Saccharomyces cerevisiae S288C: one gene and its partners. The gene in region 1 interacts genetically with each later gene. Each region holds a gene or a part of one and is shown in the gene's direction. Other genes may lie near its edges.

Region 1 (3,366 bases):
GTGAGATGCAGGGAGTTTGGTAAAATCAAAAAGGACTATGTGAGAGACGGCTATCGAACACTGAAGCTGAACAGTGGCAATTACGGAAGCTCCAGAAACAAGCAACACTCTATCAATATAGCACTAGATCATGTGGAGTCCCTAGAGGTACAAATACAAGCCCTGATTAAAAACAAGTATACACAATATGATTTGAGTAACGAATTGATCATATTTGGTTTCAAGCTGCTTATTCAAGACCTGCTAGCGCTATATAATGCTCTCAACGAAGGTATCATAACTCTGCTGGAGTCTTTTTTCGAACTATCTCATCATAATGCAGAGAGAACTCTAGACCTGTACAAGACGTTTGTTGATTTGACCGAGCACGTTGTCAGGTACTTGAAGAGCGGGAAGACTGCGGGCTTGAAAATACCCGTCATCAAGCATATCACTACCAAACTGGTCAGATCGCTAGAAGAACATCTGATAGAGGATGATAAGACGCACAACACTTTTGTGCCCGTTGACAGTTCTCAAGGAAGTGCTGGGGCCGTAGTAGCCAAATCTACTGCACAGGAAAGGTTGGAGCAAATCCGGGAACAAAAAAGGATACTAGAGGCACAATTGAAAAACGAACAAGTAGCGATTTCCCCTGCTCTAACTACTGTCACGGCGGCTCAATCTTACAACCCGTTTGGAACAGACTCTTCTATGCATACTAACATTCCAATGGCTGTGGCTAATCAAACGCAACAGATCGCAAATAACCCATTTGTATCTCAAACTCAGCCACAGGTGATGAATACACCAACCGCTCATACAGAGCCCGCAAATTTAAACGTTCCTGAATATGCAGCGGTCCAACACACAGTGAACTTCAACCCTGTACAAGATGCTGGCGTAAGTGCCCAACAAACGGGGTACTATTCGATTAACAACCATTTAACACCCACATTTACAGGTGCAGGGTTTGGAGGATACTCCGTTTCACAGGATACAACTGCCGCTTCTAATCAACAAGTCTCTCATTCACAAACTGGTTCTAACAACCCGTTCGCATTGCACAACGCCGCGACGATCGCAACAGGGAATCCTGCACACGAAAATGTCTTAAATAACCCATTTTCACGACCAAACTTTGATGAACAAAATACCAATATGCCGCTACAACAACAGATAATAAGTAACCCTTTTCAAAACCAAACGTACAATCAACAACAATTTCAACAACAAAAAATGCCTTTGAGCTCGATCAATAGCGTTATGACAACCCCTACTAGCATGCAGGGATCGATGAATATTCCTCAGCGTTTTGATAAAATGGAATTTCAGGCTCACTACACTCAGAATCATCTCCAACAACAGCAACAACAGCAACAGCAACAACAGCAACAGCAACAACAGCAACCACAACAGGGTTATTATGTGCCTGCAACTGCAGGAGCCAACCCTGTTACAAATATAACTGGGACAGTTCAACCTCAAAATTTCCCTTTCTATCCACAACAGCAACCACAACCGGAACAGTCTCAAACACAGCAACCAGTTTTAGGAAACCAATATGCTAACAACCTCAATTTAATTGATATGTAATATCTAGTATAATCAGGTATGTAAGGGAGTACTCAAGTGCATCTTTGGATAGCTATATATAGTTGTAAGGAAGAGCTATGTAATTTTTGCCATTTTGTACATATTTTGCATTTGTCCTATAGTATGTAATACTTACATCTTACTGTCTTCAATTCCTCCCGCCAACAAAAGATTTCGATAGCGCCGCACCATGGAGTTTATATTGTTATTTCCGAGACGACCTATATAAGGGAAAAGACGAAAACTGGGTATTTGATACTTGTCTAAACTTCAATGGACAAATGATATAAAATACAAACAATGAATAGTAACCGATGCCAAACGAATGAGGTGAATAAATTTATTAGTAGTACAGAAAAGGGGCCTTTTACGGGCAGGGACAATACGCTCTCTTTTAACAAAATCGGGAGCAGACTGAATTCACCACCGATTCTGAAGGATAAAATTGAGCTGAAATTTCTACAACACTCAGAAGATTTGAATCAATCACGGTCCTACGTAAATATTCGTCCTAGAACCTTAGAGGATCAAAGTTACAAATTTGAAGCGCCAAATCTAAATGACAATGAAACTTCTTGGGCCAAGGATTTTAGATATAACTTCCCTAAGAATGTTGAACCGCCCATCGAAAATCAAATCGCGAATCTTAATATAAACAACGGGCTACGGACATCTCAGACAGATTTTCCCTTAGGCTTTTATTCACAGAAAAACTTTAACATTGCTTCCTTCCCTGTGGTTGACCATCAGATATTCAAGACAACAGGTTTAGAACATCCTATCAACAGCCACATTGATTCTTTAATTAATGCTGAATTTTCGGAACTGGAAGCCAGTAGTTTGGAAGAAGATGTCCATACAGAAGAGGAAAATTCAGGTACGAGTCTGGAAGATGAAGAAACTGCCATGAAAGGTTTGGCTTCCGATATAATTGAGTTTTGCGATAATAATAGTGCCAATAAAGATGTAAAAGAAAGACTAAACAGTTCAAAGTTTATGGGGCTGATGGGCAGCATTAGTGATGGTTCTATAGTTTTAAAGAAGGATAACGGTACAGAAAGAAACCTTCAAAAACACGTAGGTTTTTGTTTTCAGAATTCAGGAAACTGGGCTGGTCTTGAGTTCCATGATGTTGAAGACAGAATTGCTTAACGGGCCTTGAAATTTCTTTAATTTAAACCATGAATTTCAGATATATAACACTTTTTAACCACTTTCAAGAGAAAACAGTATTAAATTACATACTGCGTTCACAGCTATACGTAAAAAGAGTGACAAGTGAAGAATAAACGTCATTTTGAAAAAGGAATTAGAAGTCTGTCATTTCAACTGAGTTTTTGACGGAGGAATTATCATTATCGGGTTCTCCAATAAAACTTAGCTTGTTACTACTTCTTTTACTTTTTTTTTCTCGTGTTCGATGTCCACTTTCATCTGTGAGACTATTATTCCCAGCATTGTCTTTCTGGAACTTAGTTGTCGTTTTAAATTTCCTCATGTTTAAACTAGAATCGTCGCCACTATCTTCTGCTTGCCCCCGGTTCGTAATTTTATGTGTACTTTTTTTCTGTTCATGCTGTCTATCGCTTTTATATACAGGATCACATCTGTTATCAGTAATAACATCATTATCGTTTTCTTCTTCTATACCGAGTAATCCGGCCTTGACATCGCTAACAAAGCTCCAAAGCGACCTGGAGACTGATCCTTGCGAAGGAGATTTTTGGCGAGCTCCAGGTGCTTCATTATCGTACTGTTGCGCGGACGACTCGCTATTACTAGTCGGTGTCC
Region 2 (3,445 bases), on another chromosome or scaffold:
CATTGAAAACAAAGATTTCGATAAGGCAATTTCTTTAAGAGACACAGAATTTATTGAACTTTACGAAAACTTCTTATCCACTACCGTTAAAGATGATGGTTCCGAATTATTGCCAGTATCTGACAGACTAAACATTGGTATTGTCCATGTTGGTGCCCCATCTGCTGCTTTGAACGCTGCCACCCGTGCCGCAACTCTATACTGTTTGTCTCACGGCCATAAACCATACGCTATCATGAATGGTTTCAGTGGATTGATTCAAACCGGTGAAGTGAAGGAACTATCATGGATTGATGTCGAAAACTGGCATAACTTGGGTGGTTCCGAAATCGGTACGAACAGATCTGTTGCTTCAGAAGATTTGGGTACCATTGCTTACTACTTCCAAAAGAACAAGCTAGACGGTTTGATTATTCTTGGTGGTTTTGAAGGTTTCAGGTCCTTGAAGCAATTGCGTGACGGTAGAACCCAACACCCAATCTTTAACATTCCAATGTGTTTGATTCCAGCCACTGTTTCTAACAACGTTCCAGGTACTGAATACTCACTTGGTGTTGATACCTGTTTGAACGCATTAGTCAATTACACTGATGACATCAAACAGAGTGCTTCTGCGACAAGAAGAAGAGTCTTCGTCTGTGAAGTCCAAGGTGGTCACTCTGGTTACATCGCTTCTTTCACTGGTTTAATCACTGGTGCTGTTTCAGTGTACACTCCAGAAAAGAAGATCGACTTAGCTTCTATCAGAGAAGATATAACTCTATTAAAAGAGAACTTTCGTCACGACAAAGGTGAAAACAGAAACGGTAAGCTATTGGTTAGAAACGAACAAGCTTCTAGCGTATATAGCACTCAATTGTTGGCTGACATCATCTCTGAAGCAAGCAAGGGTAAGTTTGGTGTTAGAACTGCTATCCCAGGCCATGTTCAACAAGGTGGTGTTCCATCTTCTAAAGACCGTGTCACCGCTTCCAGATTTGCTGTCAAATGTATCAAGTTTATCGAACAATGGAACAAGAAAAATGAAGCTTCTCCAAACACTGACGCTAAGGTTTTGAGATTCAAGTTCGATACTCACGGTGAAAAGGTACCAACTGTTGAGCACGAAGATGACTCTGCTGCTGTTATCTGTGTTAATGGTTCTCACGTTTCCTTCAAGCCAATTGCTAACCTTTGGGAAAACGAAACCAACGTTGAATTAAGAAAGGGTTTTGAAGTTCACTGGGCTGAATACAACAAGATTGGTGACATCCTGTCCGGTAGATTAAAGTTGAGAGCTGAGGTAGCCGCTTTAGCCGCTGAAAACAAATGAATGATTGCAATGAAAAGTTTAAGTTAAGCAAAAGGAGGTAAAAATGGCATGCACTTTAATTTTTATACAATCGTTTTTTTGTCATAAGACTTATTTATGTATCTGTTGTTTTTCTTTTTCTATCCTCTATTTTTGTCTATTTGTCTTTGTTTTACTCTTTTTCATTATTATTTCTTTATATAATTTTTGTACGATATGATACACATAACAATGAGCAATGAACATATTTCTAATCCTAACCATTAGATATACTTTTCAACTGAGGAATAATGGCGCCTTGATTAAACTAAGCTATGGAATTTGCATTATTCAAGTTTTAGGGTGTGCTTAATCTGCGTTGACAATGGTTCACGAAGACGACATCGGCAACTTTGCTGTACTACAAATTGCTCTGAATGTGAGGCTGATCCACATCATAGTGAGGCGCGCTACCTTAATTGTAGTCGTATTGTCATCGGTCTACGAATACCGTTTGGTTTATTTGTCGGCCTTTTTTCTTTCCGTTTCTTTTTATCTTTCCGCTGGAAAAATGGAAACTAGTGCCGATAATCGGAGATGGGATGACTAAATATTTCTTTAAGGCATTGGCAATGTTCAAACCTCTGATAGAACGGCAGATATATATTTAAGAGAATATAGTCAAGGTTGACGCCGCATACTTTGGTTTTGTTTCAAAAAGAAACAGGTGAAAAATTATAAAGACCAAACTAGAATACCATGCCCAGTGTCTGCCATACAAGCCCGATAGAAAAGATTATCCAACAAGGGCATCGCATACAGAATGATTCCTTAATACCGTCAAAACGCACCAAGCTGGCCCATACGGAATTAACAGCACACTATGCCACTGAAGACTCGCATGTGGAAAAACACTTTTTGCATAATGGTAGTAATTTTGACGGCATTGACAATGTAAGGTATCAAAATCAACCCTCTCCATTAACCTTCATTACTCCAAACAACACTGTAGATTCCAGTGATTGGGTTCCGCAGTTCTCGTCTATGAAGATTGACGATTCACTAGAGTTTAGCTCAGAATATAAAAGGTTGTATTCCAATTACGAGTCACAGCAGCGCCTGAATTCAAGCAGACAACACTTACCTTTTAAGAATTGTATGATAAGGAAGACAAGTTGCACTTACCCACCTCAAAAGACGCTTCGACAGCAACGCCAAGGAAACCGGGACAACCCAACGGATGCGTTTCAATTCGACGCGGAGTTCCAAGTTTTGGAGAGAGAAATTCAAAAAGAGCGGTACGAGCCCATAACACGTCGGGACGAGAAATGGTTCGACCAAGATCAGTCGGAACTGCAAAGGATTGCCACAGATATAGTAAAATGCTGTACTCCACCGCCTTCGTCTGCATCCTCCTCTTCTACTCTTTCCTCCTCTGTCGAATCAAAACTATCTGAGTCGAAGTTTATTCAGTTAATGAGAAACATTAGTAGCGGTGACGTGACTTTAAAGAAAAATGCAGATGGAAATTCCGCAAGCGAGTTATTCTCATCCAACAACGGGGAACTGGTCGGAAACAGGCACATTTTCGTCAAGGACGAAATTCACAAAGACATACTTGATTGATATAGGCAGTTTCTACAATTGTACCTCTTGTAACTACTACATACGTTGATATATGTTTACAGATAGCTAAGAATATCAAAATCATGAATATGTGCCCTTATGTGTTCTCTGCGCTGAGGAGTATCGCAGCTTCACTCCTGCAGATGCATGCCCTACCTACTGTCATGCCCATCTCTCTCGTTTAAAACTTACTACACCTTTTTTGTGCATGGATTGTGCTGATGTAAGCTGCACGAAATGACACGCTTGTGAATTTTTTCTTCTCTTGGGAGAAACTGTGAAGAAAAAAAAAAAAGCTTCGCAAAACCCGAATTAGTCTCGAAGGAAGTAATTACCTTGTGAAAGGGTCTTTTGGGATACTAATTTATTATGAAGTTTGGTTTTGGTGTTGCTTGCTCTTTTTTTTTTCAATTTTGAAATGCGTACACGTGAATTTTAGCATAGGTTGTAACAAAAAAAAAAAATGATTTGGATGAGGCAGGCAACCCCTTAAGTAGCTATGGTACCTTTCAAGCTGACAAATAAGGTACCTACGGACACGGGACCTTC
Region 3 (2,906 bases), on another chromosome or scaffold:
AGGCTTTAATAACTACTCAGTTTTTTTTGATGGCGGCAGAAGCAGCGCTTTCATTGCTCTACACAAATCCGCAATTCAAGTGACAGACGCCAAACTAGTGGTACAGTACACTTACTGAAGCGCACCATGTATACCCTGATCTACATCTAGAGCTTGTTCAGTTTTTCTTTATGCTTTTAATTACGCCAGGAAGAAAACCGTTCTTACGTGGTGGATGAAATAGGAGAATTCGGGTTTCTGGGAAAACTTAAAATTTCTTGTTGGAAAAGTAGAAAGAAAAAGAAAAGTTTGCCTTCTGAGAAAATGCTACATATGGTAGAGACATCAATCGATTGCTCAACACGCGTTAAAAAGGGGAAAGTGATTGCCACTGTGATCACTTTAAATCATTTCTTCGTTCTCATTCTTTTCGTCTAATTTTCTTCTCTACCACTCATTATACCAGGCATTTTATCTACATCAAAATTTGTTTTGAATCGGATCATATCATGAATAGTACCGCCGCTGCAATAAATCCAAATCCAAATGTTATACCATTCGATGACACATACATTCTCTATGATTCGCATGACTTTCTATCATTCCTTAGTGCATATTTCTCGCTGATGCCCATCCTAGTGCTAGCTTTTTATTTGTCGTGGTTTATCATCACAAGAGAGTTAGAAGCCTGCATTGTAGCCTTTGGCCAATTGATGAACGAAATATTCAATAACGTGATCAAGAATATAATAAAACAGCCACGCCCCGTATCGTTCGGTGCGTCGTTCCAAAATGACACTATAAGATCCGGTTACGGGATGCCCAGTGCACACTCCCAATTCATGGGGTTTTGTTTTACCTATAACTCTCTGAAGATATACACTTCCTGGAAGAATCTAAACTTCTTAGAAAAATGCATTTTTTCTGGTGCATTGGCTTTATTATCGTTTTGCGTTTGCTTTTCCAGAGTTTACTTGCACTACCACAATTTAGATCAAGTAATCGTGGGATTCAGCGTGGGGGCACTGACTGGATCACTTTATTTTTTTATAGTTGGCATCATAAGAGAGCTTGGTTTAATCAATTGGTTTTTAAAACTACGTATTGTCAGATTATTTTACATGACAGATTCTTACAATCTGGCGCCTTTGACATTGAAAGAGAATTACGAGGCGTATTGGAAAAGAATAAATCAGCGATCTTTCAATGATAAATCCAAAAGGGATTAGGTTGAACATTTCATTTTTCTTATTTTTTCATCTATTTTAGCGAGGCGATCTTGAGCGTTTGTGTAACTGGATAAAACTTGGCAAGCTGGAGTAGTCCTTATTTCTCATAAAGAAAGCCGAAAGCCTGCTCTCCTACAGTTATTAATTAAGAACGCTCGTTTTAAACAGTTACTGTGTAAAGCGACGGTAATCGAAAAAGTATGTGACATCGTGCAAAAGAAGATAATCAAAACCATGCAGAACGTAGAATAAATGTGAGTTCTATCACTTGCGGAGATAATACCCTCTGACGCCGCGGGGCCGATTGTTCCACGGAGGGAAAGAATCGGCCCTCGGGTTTTACGAGAGCGCCGCGGGTGAACTCACTTTTTTCTCGAGAAGAAGTTTCCTACGGCAGAATAAGACCCTTTTCCACGGATAATCAGCGGAGCTTCTGGACATAATAGATGGTTTGTGAAAAAGCTTAAGGAAAGCCGCGGATTTAGCATGTCACCCACACTTAGATTACGAAAGCAAGGATTGCAGAAAAAAAGATGAGATACAGTTTTGAGGGCAATATATAAAATATATAAATATAGCAACATTCCCTTCTCTCTGTTATGTCCACAATACTTCTAAAAGTTGTAACATATATCTATACATAAAAACTTGTAACAAACATATAATTAAAACAACTAGTGACAAGACGGAAGTTATAAGTTATCTTCTCTACAGAAACAATACGTAATGTTACTCACACCAGCCAAGACTACAAGAACGGAAGACTCAGCAAACTCAACAGATGACAGCAGTAAAAGCAGTAATTCATTCATGCGTGCCATAGTTTCTTCCCTTATGGTTAAGCCCATAACATCTCTGACTAATACAGTCACATGCAGACAAAGTTCCCATCACAATAGCTCTCCAAGTAAAATCACAAGATATGATTTAATCAAAGCTGCTGCTGAAAATGACTTGAAAAGGAGTAAGTCTCAGGGACGAGAAAAATCCAGAAGAAACTCTAATCGTAGAAATAATGAAGAAATTTTTGTGGCCAATACTGCTTCAGAAATCCAACGGACTAAAAGTAGCATATAGCAACCCTGAGGTCAATGTGCTTAACTACTTCTTTGCATCTTCATTGTCTCTAAAAAGATTCATATCCTCATATCCATTCGCATCTTACTCATCTTCATAATCACCCTATGTACATATATATATTGTCATAAATATACTAATAATTAACAATCACATTTTAATATTGGAAGTTTTCTCATTTTCTTGCATTGAATTCATGCATCTGCCGCTCAGCTAGAAACAAGCGCATTCGTCTACCAACCAGCCCTTGAGACCCGAAGGCAGAATGTGAGAAATTACAATTTTATTTTTAAAGAAACTAAACTAAACTAAATTGAAATTGATAAAAAATATACATAAAAGAAACACAGGATTTATTTATTGTATTTTTTGTATGATCTATGTTAAAGTCGAGCTAGTTTATTCCAATTTACCACCCTTTCTTTGGATCAAAGCCTTTCTGTCCTTGTCCAAGTGTAACTTAGTGATAACAAGCTTGGATGGGTGCAAGTTAATTGGAACGGAAGCACCGTTGACCTTTTCCTTGGTGACCTTGTCAACTTGAACAGCAAACTTCAATCTGTAAACAGATGAAATCTTACCTTCTTGACCCTTCTTGGAACCACGAACAACCAAGACTTC

Evidence for each region.
Region 2: mutations in PEX18 (region 1) and PEX21 impair growth when combined (synthetic growth defect), as found in Saccharomyces cerevisiae (3 studies listed by BioGRID, with this or other methods).
Region 3: mutations in PEX18 (region 1) and YGR035C together harm fitness more than expected from each alone (negative genetic interaction), as found in Saccharomyces cerevisiae (2 studies listed by BioGRID).

Annotation. Positions count from the first base shown.
Region 1 is NC_001140.6:418,582-421,947, reverse strand, and holds PEX18 (Pex18p), read left to right. Parts: upstream 1-1,875; coding exon 1,876-2,727; downstream 2,728-3,366. Other genes in the region: YAP1801 (Yap1801p), read left to right, coding at 1-1,575; TDA11 (Tda11p), read right to left, coding at 2,885-3,366. UniProt on the Saccharomyces cerevisiae protein: Involved in peroxisome biogenesis and the import of peroxisomal matrix proteins that contain the peroxisomal targeting sequence PTS2. Required for peroxisomal targeting of PEX7 and growth on oleate.
Region 2 is NC_001139.9:968,638-972,082, reverse strand, and holds PEX21 (Pex21p), read left to right. Parts: upstream 1-2,029; coding exon 2,030-2,896; downstream 2,897-3,445. Other genes in the region: PFK1 (6-phosphofructokinase subunit alpha), read left to right, coding at 1-1,312; KEL2 (Kel2p), read left to right, coding at 3,396-3,445. UniProt on the Saccharomyces cerevisiae protein: Receptor that mediates peroxisomal import of proteins containing a C-terminal PTS2-type peroxisomal targeting signal via its interaction with PEX7.
Region 3 is NC_001139.9:556,451-559,356, reverse strand, and holds YGR035C (uncharacterized protein), read left to right. Parts: upstream 1-1,934; coding exon 1,935-2,285; downstream 2,286-2,906. Other genes in the region: CAX4 (dolichyldiphosphatase), read left to right, coding at 489-1,208; YGR035W-A (uncharacterized protein), read right to left, coding at 1,571-1,792; 60S ribosomal protein uL24 RPL26B, read right to left, coding at 2,685-2,906.